3 linked regions of the Pelodiscus sinensis genome follow. The protein of the gene in region 3 interacts with the protein of the main gene of each other region in a pairwise test. Links are inferred from orthologs where the notes say so. Each region holds a gene or a part of one and is shown on either strand. Other genes may lie near its edges. The genes, in order: MEMO1, PPM1E and DISC1.

The links.
Region 1: the proteins of DISC1 (region 3) and MEMO1 interact in a two-hybrid assay, tested with the Homo sapiens proteins (2 studies listed by BioGRID and IntAct). The link is inferred for Pelodiscus sinensis from reciprocal best matches to the Homo sapiens genes DISC1 and MEMO1.
Region 2: the proteins of DISC1 (region 3) and PPM1E interact in a two-hybrid assay, tested with the Homo sapiens proteins (2 studies listed by BioGRID and IntAct). The link is inferred for Pelodiscus sinensis from reciprocal best matches to the Homo sapiens genes DISC1 and PPM1E.

What each region holds. Positions count from the first base shown.
Region 1 is NC_134713.1:134,287,932-134,291,678, forward strand, and holds the start of MEMO1 (protein MEMO1), read right to left. Parts: upstream 2,670-3,747; 5' UTR 2,591-2,669; coding exon of another isoform or gene 2,530-2,590; intron 1-2,529. UniProt on the Homo sapiens protein: May control cell migration by relaying extracellular chemotactic signals to the microtubule cytoskeleton. Mediator of ERBB2 signaling.
Region 2 is NC_134731.1:5,128,461-5,132,207, reverse strand, and holds the start of PPM1E (protein phosphatase 1E), read right to left. Parts: upstream 2,756-3,747; 5' UTR 2,573-2,755; coding exon 2,265-2,572; intron 1-2,264. UniProt on the Homo sapiens protein: Protein phosphatase that inactivates multifunctional CaM kinases such as CAMK4 and CAMK2. Dephosphorylates and inactivates PAK. May play a role in the inhibition of actin fiber stress breakdown and in morphological changes driven by TNK2/CDC42.
Region 3 is NC_134713.1:124,059,181-124,062,927, reverse strand, and holds the start of DISC1 (disrupted in schizophrenia 1 protein), read right to left. Parts: upstream 2,919-3,747; 5' UTR 2,834-2,918; coding exon 2,779-2,833; intron 2,723-2,778; exon of another isoform or gene 2,503-2,722; intron 1-2,502. UniProt on the Homo sapiens protein: Involved in the regulation of multiple aspects of embryonic and adult neurogenesis. Required for neural progenitor proliferation in the ventrical/subventrical zone during embryonic brain development and in the adult dentate gyrus of the hippocampus.

The sequences.
Region 1 (3,747 bases), about 10 Mb from region 3:
AGCATGTGTCAGAATTTGTTCTCAAGATCAGGCTTCCTTTTGTCCAGTTCAAACTTGTCTGCCTTCCCTGACAATCACCTGTTCTGTGCCATATATGTGATGGCAAAGAACAGGTGATTGTCAGGGAAGGCAGACATTTTTGAAGTGCCAGCAGAAGCAGCATGAAACTGACCAGATCACTGTCTATCACTTTACTGCTAACAATGAGAAGCAATGTGCAATAACAGATTGGATTAGAGACACATTATTAATGTCTCTCACCATATCAGTCCTGCACCATGAGCTCAGGATCTGCACCCTCCATTTCTCCCAAAGGGCCAGCAGAAAGAAATGGAAAAATACAGGAGGATCAGTTGAGCTTCATTTTACTCTTATCCCACGATGTTATTAAAAACGTGCTAGGTGGAGAAACAGCAGCAATACAAATGCTGTTTTTCACCCTGTAGGATTCTTTTTAATGCAGCCAAAACTCTGCTATGGTACCTTGCTTGTACCACAGGATCCCTGATTCTAGCTACTATAGAACATCTATTTCATCAAACTTTACTGTGGGTTATTAGGATGTGTATGTGCAGAAAATATTACTACTCTTTTTACAATATTAAATTTTATCAGAATATTTTAAGTTTTGCATTATTGCATCAACATAAAAATAAAAGCTAGTCTATAGCTTAGAGTGAGTTTCTACATTATCAATCTTAATAGTGGTTTTCAGTAAGAGATGGGAGAAGAGAAACAATGGACTTAGAAGCCACAAGTTATAAAAAAAATTAATGATCCACTTACATTGTGAGTTTTCATATCAGCTATTAGAATTAAGCAGTGAGATAATGTGTATAAGATAACAACTTTATGAAGCAAGAGGCTATGCCTATTCATTTACATATTCCACTTTGCAAGCATATCCAAGTTTCATATGAAGGAGATGCAGAGGCATCCCCAACCTACGTAACCCAGTTTTATTACTACATTAGGGCTATGTCCAGACTGGCATGATTTTCCCCAAATGCTTTTAACGGAAGAGGTTTTCCGTTAAAAGCATTTGCGGAAAAGAGCATCTAGATTGACAAGGACGCTTTTCCGCGATCGGGGCTTTTTTGCAGAAAACAAATCTCAGCTGTCTACACTGGCCCTTTTGCGCAAAAGCTTTGCGCAAAAGGACTTTTGCCCAAACAGGAGCAGTATAGTATTTCTGCAAGAAGCACTGATTTCAGACAGTAAGAAGTCAGTGTTCTTGCGGAAATTCAAGCGGCCAGTGTAGTCAGCTGGCAAGTTTTTCCGCAAAAGCAACCTAGGAGAAAATGTTTGGTTACATTATGCCATTACCCCAGTAAAACTGCAGAGTTTTGTGGGCCAAACAAATATATTGTTTGGCTTTTTTAAATGAATTACTCGATGAATTACTCAATAGAATATTTTCAGATAATACAGAACATTCCCCAGATAGAAAGGAAAAGGAAAATATAGTAAGTCATCCAGCCACCCAAGCAAGTACAGGATTTGCCATCAGCATATTCTTCTGTTCTACAGTCTCCTAGTCCATTTAGATTCATGCACCACATTACATCCTGAGCATTTACCTATGCGTTTAGTATACCTTAGCTACGTTTAAATAGGGCTTTCATTATTTCATGTTATAACACATCTCCATATTAGAAAGTTGTTTGACTAACCTCTTACCAGCTAGTAATTCCATAATTGTCCATAATTGAACACTATACAGTTTCTCACACTGGTAAAGTACCCAGCATCCTCCAACACTACCAGAAGATATGCTCTGAACTATACTGATCATTGGTCTGATTTTGAATAGCAATTTCTACTTTCCTATAGGGTCAATTTGCATGTCCCTTTCCTAGCCATACCACACTGCACTGTCTTAAATGCTTTGGGGGCGACATTGCCCAGGCCACTGGCAGCACAATGAATCATTCCAGTCCTATTTTACCAGACAACTTGCTCGTCAGGCGCACTCGGGGATTTGCTGCACAGTTTTAAAGCTCATTCATTTGGGATAAGGGTACTTAGTGCACGTGCAGCCTTACGGGCTCGCCGGCTCAGGGGCCGAGGTGTGTGCACGAAGGGGGGCGCCCGCAGCCTGGGAAGGAACTGCCACTGCTACAGCCATGTGCCCCGCACAGGCCCCAATATCAGCACCGGAGGCGGGGCCTGCAACTCCCTACCCCGGGGAGGAAGGAAGGGGCCCTACGGCCGGCGCAAGGATGAGTCGCCGCGACGCCGACCCGCCCCTCCGGGGTGGAAAACGCTGACTCAGCCTCCGGCTTCAGCCGGGCCCCTAGAGCCGGCGCGGGGCTGGGAAAAGGCCTCCGAGTCCGACCTCCCGGCCAGGGCCGCAGCTGCCGGGCGCGCACCGCACATCCCCGCGGGGGCCGCAGCTGCTCCGGCCCGCGGCGGTAGCACCCTGCAGCGCTCCCCGGCCCCACTAACCCCCTGCCCCCCTGCCCCAGCCACCCACCTTCTCCCCTCCACCCCCCGGTGGCCGGGGCTGCGCCCGGCCGGCCCCGCTACCTGAGGCTGTGTACCAGCTGCCGGCGTGGCTGGCCTCCCGGCAGAGCACTCGGTTGGACATCTTGGTGCCTGAGCCGCCTATGGTGTTCGGGGGGGAGGGGGCAGGAGACGGGCCCGGCCGCGGCGGCAGCGCTAATCCCCCCTCCTCCCCCGGCAGAGCCCGAGCCCCCGCGAGGGGGGGCGGGCAGTGCTGCCGGAGGCGCCGCGGACCCGGGCGGTGAACGGGGAAGCGCTGCGAGGGGTAGGCGCGGGCTCGGCCGCGGACACGAACCCGGGAGGGGGGAAGCCTGGGACAAAGCCCGAGGCAAGAGCCGGCTACTCCGCGCTCTCGGGCGAGGGGAGGCCGCGGCAGCCGGGTTTGGCCCTGCTCGTCTCCCGTGGAAAGGGGAGGGCCCAGAAGCGGGCCAAGTGGCTCGCCATTGGGTGACGAAAGCAAAAGCCCGGCCACGATTGGATGCCCTTTCTCTCCCCGTTTCCCCCCGCCCTACAGAACCGACCAGGCCTGCAATTGGACCGCGCCGCTGGAGGGGAGCGGAACGAGGGGAGGGAGGTAAAAGACCACAGGCAGGACCCGTATGGATTGGACAGCAGCAGGGTTGCCGTGGTGATGGCTTCTGGCCTCGCTGATTGGCGGGCTGGTGTCTCTGTGGTGGCAGCAGGGCAGATTAGCGGGCAGGGGCGCGTGGGGAAGCTGGGCGCACCCTGGGGGAGCGAGACCACGGGAGAAGTGGGTGGGGGAGGGAGAGCGGAGCTGCCGGGCTAAGCCCCGCCCCAACCAGAGCTACTTGGCCGGCCTGTGGGGCCCTGCTCGCCCTGTGTTGCCCAGGCAGGCCGGAAAGCGAGGCCCTGTGCGGCCCCGGCAACGCTCCCCCCTGCCCGCCTGCACGGGGGCAGCAGCCCGCCCCGCTTCAGCCCCAAGGGCCTAGCAGTGGCACTAGCAGAGGTCCTCTTCGGTCACCGTTGTACCCCAGAGGCCTTGCCTGGGGGGGGGAGGTGCTGACCCACAAAAGCCTTCCCTTTTGGGGGTGCGGGGTGCTCTTTTTACCCCAGAAGCCTTCCCTTTTTGGGATGGGGAGGGGGTGCTGACCCACAGAAAAATCAGTTGGGGCTGCACAAAAACACCTCCCAACTGAGAAGGAGAAAGGCAAGCCCCACATTCCCCTTGCACAGCAGAGCCTGGGTAGGCAGCCTCATAGATTTTGTAGGTTCCCCCCCCCC
Region 2 (3,747 bases), on a different chromosome or scaffold from region 3:
GAGGCATGATCTCATTTCTGATCCATAGCCTCTCAAAATAAAACAAAAGAACAAAATATTTCCTGATGCTTGAAATAACTGAAAAACAGCTGCTGAATTTTGCACAGTAGTGGGTCTTGACTGCACATTATGCAAGCCAGTCATTTAACTACTATATAGTTATAGTCACAGAAAACATGCTTTGACAACATTTACTTCCTTGCCAGTGAGACAGTAGTAAAAGATACCACTTCATTTTTATTTTCATGTTCAGTTTAATCATTTGTGCAAGTAACTTTACTAAAATCACTATAGCTACTCAACTCTGTAAGCAACTGCAGAATTGAGCATTTAGCTTGCAAGTGGAAATCATTCCACTTTGATTTGTTGTTTTATATACATTCGTTTGTTGAAAAGAATCTATGGTTTTTTGCTAAGATACTAAAAAAAGTACCACCTACATCTGAAAATCATTCAAGACTTTCAGAAATTGCATTTTATTTTAAATGCTAGCTTACATAGTTGAGTATAAAACACCTAGTTGTGTAAGTCTATGGTTATGATTGCATAATCTAATACAGAAATTCTATTTGCAAAAATGGGAGGCTTAACAATTAAAACTCTGCGTAACACCTCCTCAGACAGAGGACTATTGTAATAGCATAATCTCTGTATTCCCTTGGTTTTGAGGCAGATGCTGCCTTCTGCTTCATGAAACAGGAAGCTATAAGGAGATTTTGTGTTGCCGTCACCAGGAACAAAACCAAATCTATAAAGCAATTAATTCAAAAACCCATAGATATGCACAAAGGTGAAAAAGCAGCAGAAGACCACTCCATGACAGAGAGATCCCTTCATACTGTTTTTTTTTTATGCTCTTGCCTGCTTAATCTGAAAAGAGAGAGACACAAATTGTGCCATAGAGCCCAGTTCTTCAAGCACTGACTTAAATGAAGAATTCAAGTGTAGTGCAGGTTTACAGAATTGGACCCACAATAATTTGTTATACTCCATGTACTTCTACCAAAAGGCAAATAAATCTGTTCCCATTTCTCACATCCTATTGAGATTTATTTTCCTTTTGCTCCATGCACAAGTCTGGCTTTTAAAAAGATATTTAAAAAGGCGTGTGAATGGAAAAGCTTTGTCCTTGAAGGCCCATGTTCTGCTGTCCCTGTCATCCACAAATGCAGAAGTCAGATCAGAATTTAAGAGAAGCAGATCATGTAGTTGTAAAACTTGCTTTTCTGTGTGAGTGTGTGTGCCCGCAATGGAGTAACACCTTTCATTACAATTAACAGCTCAATGTCAGAAAGCTCCCCAGCCTGCTGTGCATATTTTCACAGGTTCATCTGTCTCCTCCTATAGCATCAGTTTTGCAAGGTCCTTTTTGAAAGACTCACCATTAACAACCATGCCTATTTCAAACCTACACAGTCAAACACAATACATAGGACGAATAACTGATCTTTAGATTCCAGTCCGCAGACCTTTCCACACTGGGAATATGTCCCTTATGTGTTCCCTTTATGTTCTAGTCCTTTACAAAGCACAGATCTGGAAATTGCCCCTGCCCAGCAAAAACCACGATGTACATGGTTTTCCTCTCTCTCTCTCTCTGACAGGACAAATAGCCCCAACATCACTGGGAGCCTTCTCCTTATGTTGCCTCTTCATATTGCCTCTTTTTTTCTTTTCTTGCATTAGAAACTAACTTCTTGGCAGTTGATTCCACATTTACAAACCTCCTGCTGGGAACAGTCAGTTTCAGACGCAGAATGGCAGAATCCTTCCTGCTCTGGCACCAGAACGTAAGACATGACCCAAGCTGCTCTAGAGAGGGATGCCCAGGGCTTCAACTAGCTCCCCTGTCCCAGCACGATGGAGGGAACGAGACAAAAGGAATGGGGGGGGGGGATAAAACAGGAAGAGACGGCCATGGGTCTCTCCCTGCTGACCTCTCCTAGGCATCTCAACACCAAAAGTGGCCTGTCCCCCACGCTTCCCTTGTGGCCCCTAACCACTCAGTGCTCCCTCTGCCCCTTCAAGCCATGGCCATTATTCCCTGGTCCCACTGCCTCTTCCAGAGCCCACACGCCTGCCCCTTCAAGTCCGCCCTGCCCCTCCCCAGAGCTCCCCAGCCCGGTCCGTCGTGCCCCCCTCAGCCTGGTCTGCCCTGCCCCCCACCCCAGATCGGTCTGCCCTACCTCCCCCCTCCCGGTCAGCCCTGCCCCGCCCTGCCCTGCCCCTCCAGAGCCCCCGAGGTCCCCCAGCCCGGCACTCACTACTTGTAGAGCTGCTGCAGGCAGAGGTCCAGGCACTCGCCCTCCACCTCCTCCTCGATGATGTGCTCGGAGAGCGGCCGGGGCAGCGGCGGCAGCGGTGGCGGAGGGGTGGGAGGCTGGGGGTCCCCGGCGTCGCTCTCCTCCGCCTCCCCGGGGGTGGCCGCTGCCCCTTCCCCTTCTGCCCCGACGGCGGGGGGCGCGGGGGCCGGCTCGGCCCCGAAGGGCCCGCGGAACTCGCCCAGGAAGAGCTCCAGGAAGCGGCGGTAGGTCTTCTCCTCAGCGCTGCTGCCCAAGCCGCCGGCGGCCATCGCTTCGCATTCCCGGCTTGCCTGCCGGCGGATCAGCACTGCGCCCGCAGAGAGCTCCCTACCCGCCTACCGGCCGGCCAACCTCCCTCCCTGCGCGCGCTCTCCCGAGCCGGCCCCGCGGGGGCGCGCACGCGGCGGGGGCAGGGTGGGCAGCGGGGAGCGGCGCAGGGAGCGAGGGGAGGAGGGGGAGTGGAGGCTCGTGCGCCGCGCGGGAAAAAAAAAAAAAAAAAAAACCCACCGGCCCTCAGGGAGCTGAGAGACTACGCGTCACAGGGGAGGGGGAGGGGCCGAGGCATGAAAGCGCGCGGACTTGGCGCGAGGCTGAAGCTGCTCTGTCCCTCCCCCACCCACCCACGAAAAGAGGGAGACGGAGCCGCAGGCGGAGGGATGGACCGACGGACACTCCCTGACAGATCACCAGAGAGAGGGGCGGATGCTCGTTCGTGCACAAGCTGCCCGAGCACCCCCCCGCCCCGGCCCCCATGCTGCAGGCAGAGAGGCGCGAGGCAGACGCGGGTAAGTGCTCAGAGGGTGTCCCTCGCCTTGGCCGCAGGGCTGTGTGCGCGCAGCGCGGGCCCAGCAGCAGGCCACCTGACAAGAACCAGCTTAAAACAAAGGGGCGAAGGGGGGCTTGTGCCCGAGGGCTCTTGGGAGCAGCCTGTTTTTTCCGCTCCCTGTGTTATGGGTGCCGGGGTGAGCGAGCGTGCTGAGAATGAAGCGTGTCCCAGTTGCAACCTTCCATCAGAGCGGTCTGACTGGTAGGTGTGTTACGAACATCCCGGAGACGAGCACGTTTATCCCACTGCTTTGTGTGTTTATAACTTCACGAGAAACTAGACCACACATCTCTAGTATGTGATCAGTTTAATAGGGCCATCGACGTGGATATGCCAGGAAATCAGAGGGTGTTGTACTCGCCTTTCACTTCTAGGTGATCAAGACAGTAAACCAACATTGTTGTAAATCTAGCAAAATGCAATCCAGAGTATGGATGTTAGTGGGTAGTTGAGTAAATGAATAACTGATGGATAGCCTGGGTTTATCAGTTCACCCCCCTTGCTGCCCATGAGCTGTCTTTAAGCAGGCTTCCCACCAGCACAGCATCTGCCTGCCCCACCCCTGCACTCTGATGGAGGTGGAGATTGAGGGGTGCAGACTGGAGCCTATATGCATGG
Region 3 (3,747 bases):
GTTCCCATAAACTAAACTAAGGAGAAACCTGTAAAAATCTGACACTTGCTCCCATAGGATCATCATTTGTTTTTAGTACTTTAAATCAAAAGACATTTGTCTTAAACTTATCAAACTTTTTAATGTAGGCAAGGCTTTAAAAAGAAAAGCTACCATCTCTACTGCAGTTTAAGTTTGCTTGCCTTATTTGTGGATTTTAACTACTGACATCACTGTGCTTAAAATGTAGGCCTCTAATTGCAGAGCCAAAATATTTTTTCCAAGAGTGCTGGAAACTTTTCCACACACATAATAAGTTCTGTATTGTATATTTTGTAATAATATTTCAAAACTGTCAGGCTTTCTGGTTGAACAAAAGCAATAAAAACAAATACAGTGGTGCCCTACTAAAATTTCATGTCATTTTGGGGCCTGTGAAAGATCATAACCACTGCATTCCCATAGGAGACAGCTAGGCTTGCCAATATGCACTCCCACAGGTGTACTCAAGTATCACAGAGCTAACTGGCGGGGCAAACACAGCTGGAAGTTGGTAGGCCATCATCAGGCTCAACAGCAGGCTGACCACGAATATTTTATTTCATCTACAACATGAGAGGAAGGAGCAGCTGAACTAGGGCTGCAGGAGAAAAAAGGGGGAAGAAGCTACTTCATGTTTAAAGGGACACCAGCATATTAATTATTCAAGGGCAATTTCTGACCTTACACCAGTCCCTTCTCTTGGTGACAAAGAGAAGCTTTTGGTGTGAAGACCTGAAGAGGAGCTCAGTGTGGCTCAAAAGCCAACTCTCTCTCCAACAAAAGTTGGTTCAATAAAAGATTCTCATATCCAACTCTAATCTCCTGGGATTGTTAGGACTATAACTATGGGCCATTTTTGCGATCGGGGCTTTTTTGCGCAAAACAATACCATGTTGTTTACACTGGCCCTCTTGTGCAAAAGCATTTGCACAAGAGGGCTTTTGCTCGAACAGGAGCAGCATAGTATTTCTGCAAGAACACTGACAATCTTACATGAGATCATCAGTGTTCTTGCGGAAATTCAAGCGGTCAGTGTAGACAGCTGGCAAGTTTTTCCACAAAAGCAGCTGCTTTTGCGGAAAAACTTGCCAGTCTAGATGCAGGCATGCTGTTTATGAAGTCTCTTGTCAATTTGTTGTTGTTTTACAATGGCATCTTTTCCTGCTTTGAAAAATATTGCTCTCTCCTTAACTTTCATACAAACAAACAGAGAAACTGACCAGCTGATTACACAGAACATAGTGAAACAAACTAAAGATCCATCCACACAATGGGAATAATAACCCACAAGAATACTGAGGCTTAAATTGTTTAATACAGTAATATCCATTGGGTGCGTCTAGACTGGCAAAAACTTGCTGCCTGTGTACACTGGCCACGAGAATTTGCGCAAGAGTACTGACATTCTAATGTAAGAATTCAGTGCTTCTTGCGCAAACACTTTGACGCTCCCGCTCAGGGATAAGCCCTCTTGCGCGGGCCAGTGTATACAGTCATCTTAATTTTTTGCGCTAAAATGGCCATCGGAGCTTTCTTGCACAAAAGCGTGTCTATACTGGGCACGGATGCTTTTGCGCAAAAGCACTTTTTGCGCAAAAGCATCCGTGCCAATCTAGACGCTCTTTTGCGGAAATACTTTTAACGGAAAAACTTTTCCGTTAAAAGTATTTCCGCAAAATCATGCCAGTCTAGACACAGCCATTATGTTTTGAGATCCACACATGGTAAAGACCAGGTATTCTTTATTTAGAACACTCAGCGGGAGAACAAACAGTTCATGGATAAATTTGTTTTAGAAATGCAACAGATTCATAGGCAGATTAGCAGAAAAGCCATTACAAGTACTGTACAAAGAAGAATATAATGAACATAATTTATTTTAATATTTATATTTTTAAAATTATTTGGATAGTTCATATTTAAGCAGAGGACAATTTCCCTTAAAATCAAAGCCATCTACCATGAGCAGCTGAGCTAAAATATCCAATCTGGTTTCTATTAGGTTGGGTGGGGTTTTTTTGTTTTGTTTGGGGGGCAGGGATTTGAGGGTGTTGATAGTGCTTCTCTAGTCTGCTCAAGAAGAAAAGAACATTAGAGCAAGAGGAGCCCTCCCAGATGGAAGCCTCATGGACACTATCCAGCCCTGGCAGAAGGACCCAGAACTAAGGTCACCATATTTTTCTAAACTGAAAACGGGATGCTGGGTAAGTAGTGACTCCAGGTAGCTCATCAGACCAGAACCACCTGGTGTGGCCACTCTGCCCAGCTGATTATAGACATCACAACTTGTTTTGGAAAATCTGGATATTTGTCCCACTTGCTTTTGCTCAAACATTCCTCATCCCCCTTCCCCTCCAAGGCAAGAACAGGGGGACAAACGCCAAGTTTTAAAAAAAAAAGTCCTGATCTCCATGACTGCTGAAAAGCAGCGGCCAACCCGCCCCTCGAGTCACCCCGACCCTACCCTGCCCAGCCACTCACCCAGGCTCGCTAACCAGCGTGGGGCTGGGCGCCCCCAGGCTGATCCGGTCCCTTGGGGCTCCCCGCTTGCACAGCGCCGAGCACAGCGCGGCCCTGGCTGCCGGGTGCAAGCGCAGCCCCACGGCCCCTGCCTGCCGCCGCCCCGCCCCGGCTCCGCGCCTGGCACCCCCGAGCTAACGGCTCCCAAGGCGGCGCGGGGCCGAGGCCGGGCTGCTGCGCTCGCCCCTCGGGCGGGCACCGGCCGGTAACGCGCCCCGAGCTCGCGGCTGCGCTCACCTGGGCTCAGCCCTGCGCGCCCGGGCCGCCTCTCGCCGCTGGCGCCGCACCACATCCTCCGCCGCGGACTCGCTGCCGCCGCCGGCCCCAGGCCCAGAGGCGGCCCCGCAGCGCCCCCGCCTGGCCCTACCGGCCGCGACAAACGGTCTCCGCGAGCCACGCCCCAGCCCGGCCCCCTGCACACGCAGCCAAACCCTTCTCCCCTCACGGGCTCCCAGAGCCGCCGGCCCCCCGCCTCTCACTGCCTCATCACAGCTACACGGCCCACAGATAGAGATGCACACACACCGCCGATATTCCCCACACCAGCACGTGCACCCCACACCACCTCATTTCCATATGCATCCACACCTGACACATACACACCATCGATCTACATATAGGAATATATCTTACTCCACATATACAATCCCATGCATTGCATGTTTACACCACATGTACACTACACACCCACACATATACACATATATACACTCACATGCAGCCTCAAGAGTTCAAAAAGCATAAGATTTGATTCAATATGATTTTTTTAAGAAAAAGTGTTGTGGGTGTGAGAGAGAGACGGTTTTATTGGCTTTATGTTTTTGAGCCCTGTGTGTATGTCTCATATGGTTTTATTGGCTTTCTGGGTTTTGAGTCTTTAGTGTGCACTTGGAGCATATTTTCAAACTTTTCTCCACAACTAGAGATTTTTTTATTTAAGCATAAATTCCAGCTTCTCCGTCTTCAAGGAAAACAAATGGTAACACAACTCACAAATAAAATTGTAAGAGTTGACAACACTACACACACACACATATATATATATATTACACACTCATATACAACACAGCTTTGCACATCACACGTATATTACATCCGAAAAGTATATGCTAAAATAACATTAAGGTTGCTACTGAGTACTTCAAAGCTAGTAAATGCAAAAATTAAGCTTGCCCATGTATACGGTATTTAGTTATATGATCATAT